Linked DNA regions of Arabidopsis thaliana. The protein of the gene in region 4 interacts with the protein of the main gene of each other region in a pairwise test. Each region holds a gene or a part of one and is shown on either strand. Other genes may lie near its edges. The genes, in order: AT2G39100, AT2G43370, AT2G32840 and AT5G38600.

Region 1 (4,485 bases), on a different chromosome or scaffold from region 4:
ATTTCAACTAGATTCCCTGACATTTGGAAGAATGTAGAACAAAAATCGATATACAACACAAAAGTAGAAATGTGGTAAGAGTGTTGAGAATCAGAAAGGGAAAGAGAAGAAACCTGATGTAGAATTATTCATGAGGATGAATGGAATGCTGTGATGGGGGTCTTCATGATCATGATTGAGAGAGCTTTAAAGCAAAAGAAAATGGTAGAGAAAGAGATAAGAGGAGAAGAGAGAAGACGAGCTCACCATGATCGAATGGGGGAAGTCAAATAGGCAATGGCAGCTGGATTGCCGCTTACCAACCTATAGAAGAAGCCTTTTATAATATTTTATTTTGTGTTACACCCGCTTGCTTACTTATATCAATCAATACCTTAATAGAGAACGCGTTGTTTATTAAAAAAATTTCCCCGTGTATATTCACCATTTAATCTTTAAGGTACGGTTTAGAAGAGAAATTCAAATGAACTTTCCTCTTCTATGGAAGCTTCGTGTAATTTATCTAAAACTATGTATAGTTTTAATTTATTAAAAATTGATAGTCAAATTATAGAAAATATTTAATGTTGTTGAAATAGGTGGTACTCGAAACGTAAGAAAAAATGATGAGGTGAGGAAAAGCGTTGGAAAGAAACTTTGGGGGTGAGAATTTTTGGTATAGAAGAGACGTACATTATGGAAGTAGAGAGACTAAGTGTCAGCTATTTGAGAATCCACCTATAGCTATCTCAAAACTAACTCCACACCTAAACTTGCATCATCTCAACATCTTCCTCCTACCTACTCTTTAACTCTTGGTTTCTCTTACTTGGTCCAGTCTTTCCACTATTGAACTTCCAAGACACCAACAGTCGCGTTGTAAGTCTGTCTATTTACTTCATTTGACGAGAGCATAGTGCTCGGTTATCTGCAAGCGAATACAACATAATGACTTCAGAAAAAAAACCATCGAAGCAAAACAGGTTCCTACTTAGTGAAACCAAACCCACATAATACATATCCTAATTTCTTTACCTGTTTTTTTTACTGCTATTACTCCACCTCATTGTATTCAACCACTGCATCATAAGTCTCCATCGTGAGTATACTCTCCGCAAAACATCTGAAAAATGTTTTCTTTCTCATCAGAAATAGTATATGACCAAAAAACCTAAACCAAACAGATATCAGCTCTATCATCTGTTCAGACTTACAAGTCACTAGGTTTAGGTTGCCTATGTGTTTTCTGTACTACTATACTAAACCTGTAACTACTTGAAACTCTGAAAAAACCCTAGCGTATAAAAATCTTACCTTAGTTCATGCCAAAATATATCCACCTTATCAGACAAGAATTTTCGAAGAGAGGAGACTTCATCTTCCACCAACATCCCGGTCTGCCCGGTTTGTCGATTATTCTCTCTCTCAAGCCTTTTGATGAAAAGAGCTGACGCAAAATGAACAATAACTGAGGGATCAGGATCTCCAAGGACTGCCTGAAGCTCTCTTCTAATCCATGGCTCAATTCTTTCAGTTATCTTTGCTTTGGTGTAATCATTCACCGCCAAACTCTACAATAATCCAAGATGACACAACGAAGCAGGTATATATAAGGCTTCCAATGTGAACATATATCCAATAATGTAAGAGTGTAAACCCCAATACTACAAACATCAAACAGAGAAGAACACATTGTATAATGAAACTTACTAGTTCCAAGCGCCTTGAATGTAATCGAACAGCTCGTAATTGCTTAGTGTATATGCTGTATTTAGAGCCAACACTAGTTAGAAACAACGGCGAACTAATCTAACACTTCGAAAAAGGAGATTGCAAATGAAGCTATAGAGTTAGAATCAATAGTAAACCAACCTAGCTCGCCACTGAAGCTTTCGCTGGAAGATAACAGAATCAGGAACTGAACCTGGTCGTCCAAATGATCTCCGCCATGGCAATGGCCTTGATCTTGAGCTAGAGTTTTCCAAAACATCCCTCGACCTTTGAATTATCCTAATGAAATAATAACCAAGTGAATATAATAAAGAAGTGATTTTTAACTTCATAGAGAGGATCTTAGAGAGAGAGATAACCTCCGGCGATCGGAAGGATTATTCCGATGATAAGTTAAAGTCTCACGATCACGAAGAATTGGTAATTGCTCCTTATGGTATTTTCTAGAAGCAAAATCACTAACGATAAACCAGGAATCAAAACGAGTGTTACAAAGAGGACAATTCCTCTTGAAGCTGCTCCACTTCCGAATACAAGCAAGGCAGTATCCGTGCTTGCACACCGTGATCACGGCGGCGGATCTTCGCTCGGTTAGATTTTCGAGGCATATCGGACACGATTTCCCCTGTAAAGCAGGAAATATTGCTCTCCCTGCAAATTTCGCGATACTTTCCGGCGATCGAAGATGTCTCGAAGACGAAGGCGCCGTGGAGGACGGTAATGGAGGCATGACCGGAGATAGAGATTGTTCGGTGAAGTCGGGCTCTTGGAAAAGTCGGGTTTTAATGAACCGAGATGGATTTCAGATAGATAACCGGTTAATGTCGGTTTGGGTTGACTCGGTTCGAGATTTCTTGTTTCAAAATGAAGAGCGAGCGTGAAGGATCTTTTACTTCATCGCTGCTCCGAAGAAAAAACTTCACCATTGCCACTAACGACGAACTCTCTTGTCTCTGAAATGGAGGTTCCAAAGGAGCAGATCGCGACTTTAATAGAGCATGGGCTTTACGATTCTGCTGAAATGCTCGTAACTTCTCTAGCTTTTAGCTCATTTTGATTGTCTATCTCTTTTTTTCTAAATCCCTAGTTTTCATCAAGAGCTAATGAAATTCTCTCTATATATGCAACTAAATCCAGGGCTGCTTTCTCGTTTCTTCTCCTACTGTTAGTGCCGAAACTAGTCCTCAGCTCAAGGCGGAGAATTTGGTTAAGCTTCTTTCTCCGTCGATATTTTCTATTTTAGTAGCTGCTGAGTCCGTTAGATTGAAGTTAGATTCTTTCTGTGTTTTTTAATCAGATTCTACTGGGTGATGCTTTATTTCATCAGAGAGAACACCGGAGAGCTATTGTAAGTTCTCAAAAGTTTCATTCTTTATGTTTCTCTTTTGCTGTGAAGGAAATGTTACTCAGTTCTCGATAGTTTAGTTCTGCCTCAAATTTGAACTCTATAAATCATTCTCGGAACTTGAATTTGACTGGATTATGATAAAATTGTAAAGATTCTGATTATATGAATTTATGGAGTGAGCAGAGATAAGTTTTATATTTGTATTGCTTATTCTTTTCCTGTGGATTACTTTGAAGTCATCTCGAAATTCTGAATATGTATTCCTTCTTTTTGTCAGCATACGTACAAGCAAGCGTTGCATCATTACACAAGGATTCCGAAGCAAAGCTCCGGTATTTCGAGGAGTTCATTATCTTTATCTACCAGATCATCTGTGAATGCCTCCAGCATTTCTGCTATTAATGAGAACGAGGTAAATAACTGTGTTGCAGTTTCCAGAAAGTGATGTGGTTTGGTTTAATTTCATTGGAGTTCATGTGCATCTTCTTTTTCTAACTTTCCTTTTAGGTGAGATTCAAGATTGCTTCATCTCACTTTGCTCTTAATGAAACAAAAGCTGCGATTGCTGAGGTATGAGTGTCATCTGTTTGTCTGGTTTTCAAGATTTATTTAGTCTTCTGGATTTGTTGGTCTAGAAACTTTGGTATATAGAAAATAAAATATGTGTGTATGAGACGGTAAAAGAGCTGTCTAGGGATTTCTCTATTTCTAAGATTATAGATTGGTTTTGTATAGGATGACTTTTATGTCTTGCTATTGTATTTTATAACCAGAGTTAAGTAACTGTAATTTCAGTGAAACATTCTTGGGCCGTAACTAATGCATTGTTATAGTATTCCTGAATGTGAGTTGAATTTTGTTGCGTTGACCTGCTCCCATCAATGCAAATCCATATTACAAAACAAGTAAACTAATTGGATTCCTTCCAACACTGCATGTAGGTATTAGGGATGATAAAGCCATGGTCTGCTTAGCTATAATCTATTTTTGCACTTGTTATTTCTTTGCCAGATGGAATCTGTCAAGACCAGGAGCTTAGAGATGAATATACTGATGGCAAAGCTTCATCGAAATTCTGGATACAACCGTGGTGCTATTGCTTTTTATAAAGAGTGTTTAAGGTCTGTTTTTCGTTTTCTTTCCCAACATTTCCTAGCATAGAAACACTGTTATAATATCTCACTTTTTACGTTAAATACCAATTCAACACATAGTAAACATATATATAATCTTTAATCTCTGCAGGCAGTGTCCTTATGTACTTGAAGCCGTCATAGGTTTAGCTGAACTGGGAGTTAGTGCAAAGGATATCATATCATCGTTTACTCAGGTGTCCCTTTCTACGAGATTTCTTTCACCACTTCTTCAAATGTGTTTTGCACCTCTTTCTCTCTATTTTGCAATTACCTTTTCTGTGTGAAATCCAT
Region 2 (4,787 bases), on a different chromosome or scaffold from region 4:
TTAGATTGTGGAGATATACCTTCTGGTCTTCAAGAGGAGTGCCTTTCACTGCAAGTAGAGCATTAATGGGAACACTCTCAGGGTGAGAAGGAAGTGTTGCCAGCGTGTGTAATAAACCTATTCTGTCTTCCTCTGCCTCACCAAGCCCTATGATTCCTCCTGTTTATCGGTAAAAGAAAACACTTGAGAACATGTCGTATCTATGGATTTATCAAAATCAACGAATATTACAAAACTGTGAGTCTAATGACCAAGCTGAAGACAGGTTTCAATCCTTTAGTTCTATAGAATTGAGGCATACAAGAATACTATTTTCATATCAAAGTTACCTGAACAAACGTTGATTCCAGCATCACGAACATGGCTAAGAGTTTCAAGGCGATCGTCATAACTTCTAGTAGTGATGACGTTTGGGTAGTACTCTCTTGAAGTATCAAGATTGTGGTTATAAGCAGTGAGGCCAGCCTTCTTTAGCTCTAGTGCTTGTTGTTTCTCAATCATGCCTAAGGTGCAGCAAACTTCCATCCCCATGCCTCTGTTTTAAAGTGAGAGCCCAGAAAGTTAGTAAACACATTCAGCCAGACACCATCATCAACATCATATTCATTCTGCTCACGGATACATCAAGTACACTTTGAAATTTTCACTTTAGTTTGACATGCAAAAATGTTCATTCTAGAACCATTAATGATCGGTTCGGTGGGTTATCTTTTAAGTTAGCTTAGATTCAGAAGCAGCTGAAAAAGGGATCATATAATGTAGTATAAACAAGGAAATTCAAAGTTCAACTTAAAAAGCATAATAGTAAGGTACCTTATTTCTTTGATGTATTCAAGAATCTGGCTGAAGTTGGTTTTCCGTCCAATTGTATCTCGCCAAGCAGCACCCATGCAAAAACGTGTGCTCCCAGCTTCTTTTGCCTAACAACACATCAAATTTGTTAATTCAAATCAGAAGAGCTCATTACATCGTCAAAATGCTTCATTAAACAATTAGAGTCTTTTGGATAGAGATAGAGCTCGGATTGATAAAAACAACGTTTTGGTACATAGTAATGCATGTCCCCTTCTTCTTGATACATTCTGCTAAGGATTCTACATTCAGCAAAAATAAACATTCACAAGAAAAGTGCAAACCTTCTTAGCAGCATCAATGACAGCGTCCTTAGACATGAGTCTTTGTGCCTTAACTCCAGTGCTATATCTCGAAGACTGAGGACAATATGAACAGTCTTCACTACAGCCACCAGTCTTTATGGAGAGGAGGGTACATTGTTGTACCTCCCTGAAGTTATGAACATGTCTATGAACCTGAGCCTGAAACCCAAAGAGTCCACACACCATCGTTATTCAAGTAAAAGACAACTGATAACGAGATCAGATGAGCAACCAAATGAATAATACCTAGCTCAATAGACATTACAAAGACACTAAAATCCGGGAAATTAAGACAAATGTTTCAAAGAGAACAAACATGTTCTGGGTTAAACTAAAAATCGATACTTTCCACCAATAATTTAACAGAAACCCAAAGCTTTCTACTTCAAATTTGTGATTTAGAGTAGCTAGAACAACAAAGAGAAGAGTAAGTGAGAGAGAGAGAGAGAGAGAGAGAGAGAGAAGAAGAAGGGTAAATTACTCCATGGAAGAGGAGGTCAAGAAGAGGAGAATCATAAACAGACTTGATTTCATCTCTACTCCAATCGTTTCTGGGACCTTCTCTGATAGTCCTCTCAGCTTCAGCTGAAGCAGCAGATAATGAAGAATAGCAAGAAGCAGATTGCAGACCACCCGAGACAGAGGGTCGCAACTGAGATCGAAATACAGATCGAACAAGCATCATTTGATCTGCTAATCAGAAAATGTGGAAAAAGAAGAAGAAGAAGAAATGAGATTTGGTGTTTGGTTTGTGCTAGAGCTTTTCACTCTTCAGTGAGTGATTCACCTAACCCAAAGCAGCCACCGTTGGAGTTTCCGCCTTCGTGTGGGACCTACGAGAATATCATATATCTTTAACTGGGCTGTAATAAGCCCAATTTATATGTTGGGCTTTTTAATAGTAATCAATTCAAACGACGACGTTATTCTTTATTTCCTTAAACAGCCGGAGCCGCCGTGAGAGAGAGAGAGTCGGGGGAGAAGAAATGAGCGGCGGAGGAAACAACGTCGTGAACAAAGTGTTCTACGCGACGTCGTATCATCCGATTCAAGCCGGAAGTATCGACGGAACTGATGTTGCTCCACATGATAACGGCGTCCGTCGAGCTCTTCTCTGTTATAACGCTGGCTTATGTATGTATACTCTCTCGTTCTCTCTGCTCCTCTTTTCACTTTTATCGTTTGGTTTCTGAATTCAAATACATTGATTTGGGTTGTTTTGAAAGATGATCCTTCTGGTGATTCGAAGGCTGTTGGAGATCCTTACTGTACTCTCTTCGTGGGTCGTCTCTCTCATCACACTACGGAGGATACACTTCGAGAGGTTAATGATTGAAATTTCACTTAGTTTTTGATTTTCGTGTAGACTATGTTTTGAATATGATTATAAAAGTTTCTTCTTCGTAGGTGATGAGTAAGTATGGCAGGATTAAGAACTTGCGCTTGGTAAGACACATTGGTAAGATTTTGCAATTGCTCTACTTATGACATCAACACTTTGCTTTATCTTTAGGAAATTTATCATCTTTCTATTTCTGATGGTTTGTTACTTTCTACCAAGATATTTGTCTAAGCAGAACTGTGATTACATATTTCCTCTAAGTTCCACATTGTGTAGTATTGAGTCTCCTCTTCTTGTTACCTTTTTTTAGTGACGGGAGCTTCACGAGGATATGGTTTTGTGGAGTATGAGACTGAAAAGGAGATGCTTCGTGCTTATGAGGTGCTGTGATACTAAATTGCATTTTCTTTTTACCTCTTGTTTTTGTTGTTGAAAGCTGTCTGAACCACTTACTAAGGCACCGCAATGTGATTGTTTCATTAACATCTCCGTGTAATTACTGGAAACTAGTGGAGTTTGTTTATCAGAGTGAGAATTTTTTTGGTGTTTCTTTAGCAGGATGCTCATCATTCACTAATAGATGGGCGAGAGATTATTGTTGATTATAATAGACAGCAATTGATGCCTGGATGGATACCAAGAAGACTAGGTTTGCCATTCTTTACCTTTATTTTTGTCTGTAATGAAATGTCATAGGCGTTATATTTTCATCCCTTACAGATGAAATCTATTTCTCTCTTAACAGGAGGTGGCCTTGGTGGTAGGAAAGAATCCGGACAACTTCGCTTTGGAGGACGAGATAGACCATTCCGTGCTCCCTTGTATGGTTTTGCTTTACTCTTCCTTTAGCATGTCCAGAGATAACACCAGCTAAACATAGTGGTCATGAAATGGGCATTCTTTCTATTTGTTAATATCAGACGACCAATCCCTCATGAAGATTTGAAAAAGCTCGGTATTCAGCTTCCGCCTGAGGGAAGATATATGTCGCGCACACAGGTCTACCATGTCTTGAACTTCACCACCACTCTATAGTCATTTGAACTTTACCCCTGTTCTGTCTCTGGTGCTATCTTATTGGGTCATTTGTTAATGTTCTTCTGCTAGAAATAATATATTAAATGGGTTGTTCAATGTGTCTAGTGGAAAGCTGATAGTTTGTAAACTAAAATCTTGGTACCACAACTTACTTGTTGGATGCAGATCCCATCACCTCCAAGGAGAAAAGGAAGTGTGTCGGATAGAGAGGAAGAATATTATCGGGAAAAGAGTTCTGTAGAACGGGAAGAAGAGTTTAAAGAGCGAAGCAGCCTTAGGTCATATCACAGTCACAGGTCGAGCGCACACACACACAGTTCTCATAGAAGACGCAGCAAAGACAGAGAGGAGTGTTCCAGGGAAGAGTCCCGTTCTGATAGAAAAGAGAGAGCACGAGGTATGGAAGATCGATATGGTGACAACAAGGGTGAAGTTTCTGGCAGCAAAAGATCAAAACGTTCTGAAGAAGACCGATCTCGCAAACGTCATAAACACTTGCCTTCCCATCATCATAGGAGGTCCTATAGTCAAGATCATCATTCTTCCGACTAAGTAATCATATTGTAAAAAAAATAACAATAATATTTGGTGTTACAGATTTTTTTTTAATAATATTTGGTGTTAGAGACTTTTAAGAGTGCCTTTTGAACCAAAGAAAAAAAAAGTGTAGTGTATGTTAATCAAATATAGCAAAACAGAAATTGTCTTTTTTTTTTAGTTACAAACAAGATATTTGTTTTGCAATTAACATGAGTGAATTGTCTTTATATCTTAAATTATGGCCGTATAGATTTGATTGTTAAGATATAAAAAAATTTGGGATGATGCAATTTGTAATTTATCTAAATGGATAAAATAGTTCATCAAATATTATTATTTTTATGAACTATGACATTACAGTTGGATTTGTTTCTGTAGTTTATCTTATATTTCTTTTTTTAGAACTAATGAACTATTATTATCTTATATTTTGTTTTGTATTGAATTTGTTCGAATATAAAAACTCACATTTGATGTTGAAATAGAGATTTAGTTTGTCTGTGTAGATACTAGATAGTTGTTGTATCAACAGACAGAATTGAAACTTGGTTTCAGATTCTTGTTTTGTTTATTCAAACTCACTTTGATTTGATTGTATTTGTACCTCTCATGAATTGTCTATTAGGAGGATAGAGAGTCGCCTCAGATTGACTAGAGACAATGTCATTCTCGTACTCGTTGCATGCAAGTGGAATAAAAGTCAAATTATC
Region 3 (4,357 bases), on a different chromosome or scaffold from region 4:
TGTTTTCTTCGTCGTTGAGAGAGTGAGATCGACGTAGAACCATCGGCACAAGCTCCGGCTGAAAAGAAACAAGAGATGAGATGAGGAGAGAATGAATACTATGTTGGAGAGGAATAGAAGAGGAAGAGAAAGCCTCTCAATTTTTTGCTTATTTAGAGAGATGAAAAGAAAGAAGAAGATGTTAGCCACTATGGCATACTAGCTAGAAAAGACTTTGGGCAATATGGCATTTTCAGAACTACAGTGATGATAATATGGCTTCACTGTTGATAAAATCTTGTTTTAATGTCCATAGGAGTATTTGTGTCTTAGGAAGTCTTAGATTATGTAGTGATTTTAAGAGTTTTTGTGACATTTCGTATCATTTGGGAGTTGGAAACAAATAAGATAAAAGAAAATTCAAACACATGACTAAATGTGTTCGTGCTTCCAAGGATGGTCGATCAATCTCTGAAATTATGATCGTCCGACCACATGATGATCGATCCAGCGTTCAAAACATGGTCGACCCACCATGACCGAATACTATATTGAAAATTTTACTTGTCCAAGAACTACTAGGTGTTCTTGAAAAAAAAAAAAGATAAGAGCTATATAAGTTAACCATCTCAGAAAATCTTGAGATTGTTGATTAGTTTAGAATCATCTAATACGAGTGTATGACGAAAATTCAGAGAAAATCTTTCTTATATTACACACAGACATAAGACATAACTCTGGCTCTAAGATAATTTATGTCATTTCTAAATCAACTGCAAGTATATTCACACCGAAGTCCCTAACTTTAAAATCATTACTCGTTCCTGCATTGCTCTCCAAAGGGTGGCAGAAGAAGAGCCAATCTTGCCTTGTACCTCGCGATTCTCTTTAACCGTTCTTCTCTCAATCTGCAAACAAAACAAACCACACAATTTTGTTCAAAACAAAAAATATTCAATCTTCAACCATCGAACTTAGCTTTGATGATATGTTGTGGGACTCACCGAGCGCGGACCTTCTTAGCTCGGTCTATATGTCTTTTCAAAAGATCAGATTCTGACAAATGTTTCACAGATTCCTCGTCCTGAAGCTCATCAAGAGAGTTGAAGTAAATAATCAAACTTAGCTTTACCCTTCACAATTACCATTTTAGAAAGAAATCAGAGAAACACGAAACCTCTTTGTCTTCTTCGCAAATTGCTTCTTCAACTAAATCTTTTGGCAAACTTGTCTCCGTCTTGTCCACAGGTAAAGGCTTTGGCAAACATGTCATCATATCAATTCGCTGCGGCTGTAAACAACGTCATTAATCTTCCAAAGATATCAAGAATAGATATACAAAAATCCAAGTGTTGCATTATACTACAAAGCAGAAATAAGAAATGGATACGAACCTTAATTCCCTCATGAGCACCATTTCTCAACCAAGATCGACACAGCGAGTATAAAGAAGCTCCCTCGGTTATTCTAACCTGCAGAACAAATAAAAAGTATTTAAAATTCCTCAAATGGCGAAGCAAGCGGTTTCGAACGATAATGCAAAACCAAAAAACAAGGATAAAACTATACCTTTCTTTTTCTAACGAGGACCAGAGCATCATCCCGGCTCCTAAACACCATGGAAACGAAACAGAGACATTATTAAGTTTCTAGAGTAGTTTCTAATTAACAAAGCATAATGGCAAAGAAGATAAAGTACCTGGCCTTCTTATGCCCACTGTTGTCTAGAATTGAAGTTGGAGAAGGAGTAGCCTAACAATCAAAAATCCAAAATTTACAAAATGTAACCTCACACAAATATCTAACAGAAGTTTCAACCTTTCCTAATTCATTAGAGATTGCTATTCGAATTCTACAATCACCAAAGCAAATAATCTTCACTTCAACATACACATTTTCACTAACTAGCACAAGCTACAAAAAAAACACTTGACAAAACTATGGAATTAAACAAAAAGATTCAAACTTGTTTTGGTAACGAAAACGATAACTAACCCGAGGTTGCAAAAAATGAGGAACTCCTTTCATATGACCGGAACCAAGTTGAGGAGATTGTTGATTCTGAGGATGTGCAGCTCTCATGAACTGATTCATTGGATCCAAATTCGACACGAATTGGCCATGGTGGTATCCGTAAACTGGCCCTCGAGGAGTATACCCACCTGGACTAGGACTACCAACTGGATCAGCGACGGAATTGGAATTCTGTCTAACGGGTCGGGTCGGAAACCCTCGACCCGAAGAACCAAACGGGTATATCAGACTAGACGGGTCTGGGTGAGGAGGCTGATGAGGCGAATTAGTAACGGAATTCGAACGCCTAATCGGTAAAGGGTTAGTGTAGATATTTTGATGAGGATGATGACGATGAAGCGGAGCTATGGCTCTGTACGACGAAGCTGGTGTTTGAGGTTGAGGTTGAGACGACGGCGTTATGACTGTGTTAGGTTGTGTCACCGGAGATTCAGATGCGGTGACGATTGGAGTCGATACTGCTACAGAGACGGAAGGATTTGGATTTGGATTGGGATTGGGATCGGGAGTAGACATTGTTCCGGCGGATTTTGATTTCTGAGAAATTTGGGGAAAATCAAGTTAAAGACAACGATTCAAAATTTGGTAGCTTTTTCTTTGATTTTCAGGACACGAACTCTTTTTAAGTTCCTTCTAACTAACTAAACTAGGGCTCGGTATTTAATGTTTTGGTTCGGTTTTTTACTTTTTTCTACTCGGGTCCGGTTCAATGTGAGATTTACATTAACGAAAATTAATCCAGGATTTTAAAATGCTGATTTAGTTACGGCTGAAATCTTTTTGGGTAACATTTAAACCATAATGCAGCCATCGTATGGTTGGGTTCGGTATTAAATGTGACCTTAGTTCTAAGTTTCACAGAAAGAAGTGTAAGCTGTCTGAATCTTGAATTATTTATTTTTCCAATAATAATCCATAAGCTGAGATATCTGGCCACAGCTCAGAGAATGTGTAAAGTTTAAGACTCTACATAAAACATAATGGATATGGGTGGGGTATATTTAGCAGCAGCACAAAAACAGGGGATGATCATCATCTACAAAAAGATTCAAGATTCTGTAATGGCAGCAACATGAAGCTGTTGTTGTTGCATGAGGAAGAAATAGCAATGCGCATCTGAGTGAGTTTTAGAAGCCGGCCCATCCAGCAGGTTGAGCTGTTTTCTGGTTTTCTCTCATCTTTGAGTTCCCATATCTCTGTGAAGTGCTGTTTCCAGAGCCCATAGATCTTTGTGTTCCAGATGCAGAAGTAGCAGCTGCAGACGTTGCAGCGGCTCTAAAGGATTCTGTCTCGAAACCCCATGGCTCAAAACCTTGAGTACCTGCAGCAGAAGCTGGTTTACTTCTGGTTCTCACAGACTGATTAATCGTATTATTGTTACCCTTTGATGCAGATTCCATCACGGGTTTCGCTTCATCACTAAAAGGTTGCCATGAATTTGTATCAGAGCTGCCAGTTGACCAGTTAGATCTGTCCTGTTGAAGTTCCCACATTGTTCCTTCCATCTTATCTCTCTGTTTCATCAAGAACATTAGAATTCTAAGATATACATTGATGAAGACTTTTGTATGGGTGTCTAAGCTTAGATGAACAAGAACCAAGAATAATACCGATGGAGTTGATGACATGGAATGCATCCCTGGAGAGGGTTGATTTTGTGAAGAGTCTCTGCTCGGTGACGGTGAGGCACTTTTAGAGGCAAGTGTTTGTTTGAGATCCTGCAACTCTTGCCTTTGCGATCTGCAGATAGCAGAAAGCTTTTCAAACTTAGCAGTTATTTCTGCCTTCTCTGATTTTGTTTGCTTCAACTCGTCTTTTAACCTCTGTATCTCAGCTTCCAATGCCTCTTCTTTGCCAGGTTTATTACCATTATCGAACTTTGTGGTATCAAAGTCAGCAACAAACGAGTTGAAGGCATCATCCTTGGACACTCTTGTCATGTTATTGGCTGCAGCAGGAGTTGTATTCTTCTGAGAAATCGTAGTTTCAAGATCTTTATTTCTTTGAATACCACGAGCCTCTCCTCTCACAGGACTTGGTTTTTTGGGTTGATGACTATCCACACGAACTCTTTCAGATTTAGATGTGTTACTGTTTGGTTCATCAAATTTAGGCATGTTTTTGTTATCTTCTGATACAACTGAGGTTTTAGCATGCTGAGTCGCCCAAAAGGCACCGAGCGGTCCTCCACTATCTGATTCTCCAGAAGATGGTGGCGGCGGTGGCGGACTTCTACGAGGTGCTGGAGAAGGTTTAGTTGCTGATTTTGATGAGCCTGTCAAAATTCATAAGGATCAAAAGAAATCACATCTTTCTTTGAGAAGCTATCCAAAATAGGTTTTAT
Region 4 (6,559 bases):
GTCTCCTCTCTCAACAACTCTCCAATAGCTCTTCCTTCTCCGACCAATCTTTCTTCTCTTGCCCTTGTTCCAATGCTCCAAGCTCTCGACAACGCCACCGCAACAGCTTCCACCATTCAACAGCTTCTTATAAGCGACGACGACGGTAGTTTCCGCAGTGCTTGCCTCCGTGACTGCCTCGAGCTTTACGAGGACGCGACGGATAGATTGGAGGAGGCAGTGAGAGTTTTTATTACAAGGAAAGAGTTAGGTACGGTTAATGTGATGGTAAGCGCCGCCATGGAATCCGCCGTGACTTGTGAGAATGGATTCAGGGAAAGAGACGACGGTGACGGTGGTGGTGGAGGTGTGACGACGTGGACGTCTCCTATTGGTGATGAGAATCACAAATTGTTTGAGTTTGGTCAGATTGCTCTTTGTATATTCAATATGCTCTCTTCTTCTGTCACATCTCTATCTTTCTAAATCGTTTTCAATCTTTTAGCTGTTTAGGCTTTTGTTTGTATCGAAAACGACAAAAGGATAAAGATAAATGTATTAATGTTCACAAATAATGTGTTTATATCTTTGTGTAAACATTTCCAAAACATCAACTAATAAGAAACATGAGTAACTAACTTTCCATTTTAAGAAGTGAAGACATACCCAAAATAGTAAAACCTTAAAGCTTCGAAAGAAACTTGGAAGAGGAAATTAAATCTAAAACATCTAAAGTCTGATAACTAGAAGAAAGCTTCCACTTTCATGGACATGATACAACAGCATAGAGGGAAAGAGAGAATGTAGAAAAAAATTGAACCCTAACCTCCACATACACACATACACAGCTAAAAGTCTCACAATTTATCTCCTGCTGCTTAATCTATAAGACCAATCACGATCGTCCCTGTCCCTGTCTCTATCGCAGTCTCTGTCCCTGTCCCTATCCCAGTCTCTGTCTCTATCCCTATCCCTGTTCCTGTCTCTATCTCTATCTCTCTCCCGGAAGTCAGCATCGTAAGAAGAATAATCCCTCTTACTTCTTTCGGATAAAGATCTATCTATGCCTGGACTTCTTGACCTAGAACCATATTCGTTTGAACCATACCCGTAATCATATCTACTGCCATACCTTGGAGGATAACTTGATGGTTCAACGCCGAGCGGACCATCGTCTCTGTAATCATGTCCTCTGCTTGTTTTTTGTTGTTGCCATCGGCCGCTTCTGCTGCTGTTCCTATGTGAAGGTGCAGCTTCCCAAAGCCACTCATCTGCGTTTTCTGGGAAGGGAGCGTTAATTCCCGGAAACTCGACGGTCTTTTTCATTTGTGGCTCTGGAGGATGGTTTGCTTTTTCCAAAATTTCCCCATCCTCACTCTCTATCTCCTCCCGAGTCTCCACCTCTTCTCCGAATATAGTTATTCCAGACAAATGATCATCTTCTGGAGCTAGAGACATAAGCACACAATGGAAAGTGTGAGAACATCTAGTTTAGTTTAGCTCTTGTGCGATACCAACAAAATCCACTTCTTTTCCATGTCCATGAATGCTAATAAAACAGAGCAGAAAGCTTACCTAAGTATCCTGGTGGGTACCCAATTTCTCGCATTCTGTTTAGCCACGGAGGAGGGTCTAGTTCCTTCACAAAAGGAAAGCAATGATCTAAGAAATCTGAAATCGAGCATATTGGTAAGAACCTATACACAGAAAGAAAAGGTTCAAAATTACCCCCAGATTCAGAAGCTGACGAGTCTCTGCATCAAGTGTGCCGGGTTTCAAGCCATCATACTTTCCAGTTTGAGTTTTTTGATAATATCTTGATGGTAGACGGGGCCCACTACTATTCTGATTTCGTTTAGATTTCTGAAGCTTCCGAGCACTATTAACCGCTGATCGATCAAAAGGCCTTGGACATTCTCTTAGAGAATGACTATAGCCACCACAATTGAAGCAACGTGGAGGATCATCATCAATAATCTCCAATCCCCTGAAACAATAAATTACATTAACTGTTACATGAATGCACCACCCATTGCAAGACCATTATAACATTCACTGCTAAGTTATTCTACAGCAAATGTAAGCAAAGCAGAATTAAAGGATCTGTGGAAGTTGTTACAAATATAGATTCAATATACCCTTCCACGTTTCTTGAGCCATCTGCTGAATTTAAACCTATAGCAAATTTACGGTCATAAAGAGGAGTGGTGCTACTTTCCACTAGAACAAAATCTTCCAACGGCTTATGACCAGTTTGGTTGTCGATCCAGAATGACTGCATATGCAAAAAAGCACCAATTGGCATGTCATGAAGATTACTGATATGAATAGTTAAGAACTTTTAATAGCGTTGACAACATTTTCACTCACCACAGACGAAGTCTTCTGCAATCCAACACGTATGGCGGGGAAACATGTCTCTTCACCAGATTCGAATAGTTGTTCTTGATCCTGAGCACACAACCAATGAAAAGATTCTACCTTAAAGTTTCATATATGATAAGTCAAAAACTTTATTCGAATATAAACCTAGCCAACAAACAATTTCCCCATGTAAAGTATGAATTCTTATCATATAAACTAAAAGAGTTCAGTATTAGGGACTATGATAAACATACCTTAGTAAATGCTAGTTCTGTTTTACATCAACAAATAGTCGATATCTCAGTATTAATATGGCTAAGGCCTATCTAAAGCAAGGATAGAATATTGGAGAGCTACAGCATGCATGAGCATGATAATAGATACTTTATATGATAAATAATCTAGTATCATATTCTTGCACACTTATTAAACTCGATATCTAATAATGATTCTCTTAACAAAATGTTAATTGATCAAATATTGAAAGATGATAATAGTCACTATTATATTCGCTACAAATAACATTTTTGAGAGTAAGATAACCTTCTCCATTAAGAGATACCTGAGCCAAGGACGTATTTTCAGCCTCCCATTCTGACCATTTCTGTAATAAACTTTCCAGCTTCTGCTTACTAGCTCTGAAAGATGCAGTACACTAACAATTAAAACAATGTGGTAAAGCTAGGAATCACATAATAACAGAAATGCTTGAGCATTTCATGCAATTTAAAATTACATGTAGTTGAGTCATGACTCTTTTTTTCTAACCTCGTTAAGTGCTTATAAGTAACATGGACTGTAGGCTGCTGTTCGTCATACGATGTTCGGGGTCTTTTAACACCCGCTTTAGCTGACATAAGGAATTACGGAAAAAAACAGAAGAAGATGATATGAACCTTATATAAACGTAAAAGATAAGAATGATTTAAGCAAAAGCTTCCCTTCAACCCAACTCTCTCTTAGAGAATTAGGCCACAATACATTGTGTAAAAAGTAACATCAAACCTAATGCTAAAAGTAAGACTTCCAAAACCCATGATTGAAAGAAACTCATAACACCAAAACTAATTAATTAAACCGTCCTAACCGTGACCTAATCAACCTAACCATAGTCTCGTATCAGAAGATAACATAATGATAGACATCAAGTCTGAGCAGCAAATAATTACAGAAACAGATCAAGTGCCATGTCTTATCAGTTATCACAAAAAAAAGGTCAGGGAAAGCAAGCAACCTTCAATATAGTAGAGCAAAAGAAAGGATACAACTAACATCCAAAGTGGTGCTGTGAACTAGTGTCTCCTTTTGGATACCCAATTTCTCATCTACCGCCACACTTTCCACACTCGCATTGAACACATCACTAACCTGCTCTGTTAGTATTTCCCCAGACTCTTGGCCACCGACAATTCTCAAATTCTCTTCTGTTAAATCCAAATCTAAATTTCCTTTCACATTCTCATCATTACCAACTAAAGAATTAGCCTCAGGTGACCCATTCCCAGATTCAAGGCTATTTTTCTTTACTTCAGAGCCAAAATTGCTTGAAGCTGGTATGTCAAGCACATCCTCAGTTTCCATTTTCAAACAAAATTGAAATCTTTATATCCTCAAAACAATTTCACAAACCACCCATAAAAAACACCCTGTAATAAGAAACGACAGTATCAGAAACGCAATAACAAGATACACATTAAATAGAGTACAACATACACATTAAATAGAACACAAATATATACAAACACTATATTCAAGACCAAAAAGAATCATATCCAAATCAAGCCACACAAGATTTTAGATCCGTTAAGCAAAGAATCAACAAAATTCAACATTTGATTAACGTAATTGCTAAGAATGAAGAAACAAGCAATCAATATCTCAAATCTAAGAAAAATCTCAGCTCCTAGAGCGATTAATTTCAATCCCAGCCCGATTCGCATACCCAGAAAATTAGGGTTTCAACTTTGAACACAGTTAAATAAACAATTAAACTTCCAAGATTACCTTGCGTATCCATTGTTAATCAATTTGTGAAAAAACTAGGGTTCAAGATTTGACAAATCAAAAACAGTGAACAAGAGCTTAATCTACTCAATTCGAAACCTAAAGCATATACTCGCGAAGCAAAAACTGGAGAAATTTTTAAAAATTTGAAGAAGGAGATGAAACGACACCAAGGCTTCGTCGGGAACAACAAATCTTTCAAAAGTAGTGAAATGTTCTTAAGGTACGAAGAAAGAAGAAGCAAGAAACAAGCAATTTGAAGATTGAGAGATTTACATAGAGATAGGGCTTAACCTTAGTCAATGGAGGAGGGAAGAAGCAAGAATGGCGATAGTAGATAGATCTGTGAGATTCAAAAGGAAGAGACTGTTTTATTCATCCGCCTAAGACTTAAGTGTTAGAAGAGACGACTATCCAATGCTACGCAGCGCAGTGAATATTAGTCAACATACCAAACGGTGCGTGTTAACAAGGATTTTCTTTTTAGAAGTTTATCTGATTTGTTTTTCTTTTTAATTAAGATTTTCTTAAGACTATCATTTGGTAAGTTGACTAGGTTATTTTTTTTTGGTAAGTATTTTTCTTTTTTTGAAGATTGAAAAATTTTAATTGGTAGGAAATTTTAGTAGATTTTTTTATTATTAAAAAGGATACTTATTAATAGTGTATCACATGATAAAAGTATACAATATATTCGCAGCGTATTAAATAGACTGTTGGTAAGTAATATATATATTTGTATTTTAAACATCATATGTCAAAGATTTTGATATATAATTTTAAATATACGAAGAAGATGATGTTGGATTCGCTAATAGCGAATATAAAGGTGATGTTGAGTTTGATTTTGATGATAAATTTGATGATGAAGAAGAAAGTGTTTACCCAGAAAAGAAAAGAAGAAGAAGACGTTAAACACTTAAACGATTGTTTTTTTATTGTTGTATTGATTTTTTTTTCTTCTTCTCGACAAAATCTATTAAATTTCTAAACTTAGGAATTAAAGTAATATATGGATTTAGATTATTAGGGAAAAAACAATTTATTTATCTACGAGAACTATAATATCATATTAAAACGATTTATATATCCCAAAAAAATAGTTCTCTATCTATTTCTCCCCCTAACAAAAATTTCAATATACAGTATAAATTTTTCGAATTAATAGTTATAGATTTAGAAACCCACGATCTTGGGTTTATCGGTTTATTATTCATTTAACCGATTTTCTTGAGGAAACTAAACCCAATTATAATGGGAAAAATGTTGTTTTATACGCGAACTTTCAAAAAGTGGTCATTTTATACGTGAACTCTGACGTCGGCCAAAATAAACATGAAAAATACGTTGACCAGCCATTTTAACAGAAATAAAACGTTGACCTGGCCAAAATCCCGAGACGTTAACTCGCTGATTAACCCCGTTAAGAGAACGTTAATGAATTCTGTTAAGACCAAAACGCCGTCGTTTCAAACCTAACGAAACAAATCAAAACGCCCAAATCGAAAACTCAATCCCTAATTCTCTCAAAATCCCTAATTCTCTCAAACCAAATCCCTAATTCTCTCATTGGTAAAATCGTGTTTGTTCTTCGATTAATCTTGTTGTGATTGCCTTAGCAATGGAAGGCGAAGTCGACATTGCTCCTATTCCACCACGACGAGAAGCTGAAACCGGAGATGGAGTTCGAGCTCCACCGGAGATGGAGTTTGATGGTGGAGTTCTAGCGTTGCCGGCTGTTGTTGTAGCAGAGTCTTCTGTCGGAGTTGAAGCTCCGGTATCACAGAGGCTTCGAAAACGAAAAAGAGTGAGAGTTGAAGAGGAGGAGGATGACGAACCTGAATCGATTTCATTATGTGATTTGACTTGTCTTTGTGACACAAGTTCTACTAAGCAGGTTCTTAAACAGATTGATCACTTAAAATTAAACATCTCGTGATTTTGTGTTGGCACTTGGCAGGTTCAAAGTGATTGATCACTAAAAAATTTAGGACTGATTAGCCGAACAAGGATTTCATTACAAACACAAGCTTTCGGTTTGTAAACACTAGGACTGATTAGTAACCAAGAACAAGCTTCCGGTTTTTGTTCTTATAGAACATTATGATCAGAATTGCAATGACTGAGAGAGAAAGGCACACCAAGCACAAACCGGTCATCGATTTCCATCTCTTCAATTCCATTTTGTTCCACCTTTCATCTTCCTTCATTT

What was found.
Region 1: the proteins of AT5G38600 (region 4) and AT2G39100 interact in a two-hybrid assay, tested with the Arabidopsis thaliana proteins (one large-scale study listed by BioGRID).
Region 2: the proteins of AT5G38600 (region 4) and AT2G43370 interact in a two-hybrid assay, tested with the Arabidopsis thaliana proteins (one large-scale study listed by BioGRID).
Region 3: the proteins of AT5G38600 (region 4) and AT2G32840 interact in a two-hybrid assay, tested with the Arabidopsis thaliana proteins (one large-scale study listed by BioGRID).

What each region holds. Positions count from the first base shown.
Region 1 is NC_003071.7:16,315,417-16,319,901, reverse strand, and holds AT2G39100 (RING/U-box superfamily protein), read right to left. Parts: upstream 2,547-4,485; 5' UTR 2,441-2,546; coding exon 2,070-2,440; intron 1,990-2,069; coding exon 1,852-1,989; intron 1,745-1,851; coding exon 1,690-1,744; intron 1,551-1,689; coding exon 1,294-1,550; intron 1,103-1,293; coding exon 1,033-1,102; 3' UTR 1,015-1,032; intron 908-1,014; 3' UTR 515-907; downstream 1-514. Other genes in the region: AT2G39110 (Protein kinase superfamily protein), read right to left, coding at 114-132; APC7 (tetratricopeptide repeat (TPR)-containing protein), read left to right, coding at 2,669-2,737, 2,848-2,916, 3,008-3,058, 3,336-3,470, 3,566-3,628, 4,070-4,179, 4,304-4,388.
Region 2 is NC_003071.7:18,011,288-18,016,074, forward strand, and holds AT2G43370 (RNA-binding (RRM/RBD/RNP motifs) family protein), read left to right. Parts: upstream 1-1,980; 5' UTR 1,981-2,143; coding exon 2,144-2,291; intron 2,292-2,383; coding exon 2,384-2,481; intron 2,482-2,564; coding exon 2,565-2,616; intron 2,617-2,809; coding exon 2,810-2,880; intron 2,881-3,057; coding exon 3,058-3,148; intron 3,149-3,244; coding exon 3,245-3,320; intron 3,321-3,419; coding exon 3,420-3,498; intron 3,499-3,702; coding exon 3,703-4,089; 3' UTR 4,090-4,243; downstream 4,244-4,787. Other genes in the region: BIO2 (Radical SAM superfamily protein), read right to left, coding at 20-159, 330-535, 814-920, 1,137-1,316, 1,639-1,842.
Region 3 is NC_003071.7:13,932,308-13,936,664, forward strand, and holds AT2G32840 (proline-rich family protein), read right to left. Parts: upstream 2,643-4,357; 5' UTR 2,530-2,642; coding exon 1,975-2,529; intron 1,732-1,974; coding exon 1,679-1,731; intron 1,589-1,678; coding exon 1,549-1,588; intron 1,452-1,548; coding exon 1,374-1,451; intron 1,271-1,373; coding exon 1,157-1,270; coding exon of another isoform or gene 1,121-1,156; exon of another isoform or gene 1,064-1,120; coding exon 984-1,063; intron 888-983; coding exon 794-887; 3' UTR 532-793; downstream 1-531. Other genes in the region: AT2G32850 (Protein kinase superfamily protein), read right to left, coding at 3,141-3,527, 3,624-4,288.
Region 4 is NC_003076.8:15,454,751-15,461,309, reverse strand, and holds AT5G38600 (Proline-rich spliceosome-associated (PSP) family protein / zinc knuckle (CCHC-type) family protein), read right to left. Parts: upstream 4,756-6,559; 5' UTR 4,642-4,755; intron 3,990-4,641; 5' UTR 3,925-3,989; coding exon 3,609-3,924; coding exon of another isoform or gene 3,578-3,608; exon of another isoform or gene 3,201-3,577; coding exon of another isoform or gene 3,194-3,200; coding exon 3,112-3,193; intron 2,982-3,111; coding exon 2,906-2,981; intron 2,431-2,905; coding exon 2,350-2,430; intron 2,255-2,349; coding exon 2,118-2,254; intron 1,967-2,117; coding exon 1,708-1,966; intron 1,619-1,707; coding exon 1,555-1,618; intron 1,428-1,554; coding exon 844-1,427; 3' UTR 543-843; downstream 1-542. Other genes in the region: AT5G38610 (Plant invertase/pectin methylesterase inhibitor superfamily protein), read left to right, coding at 1-465.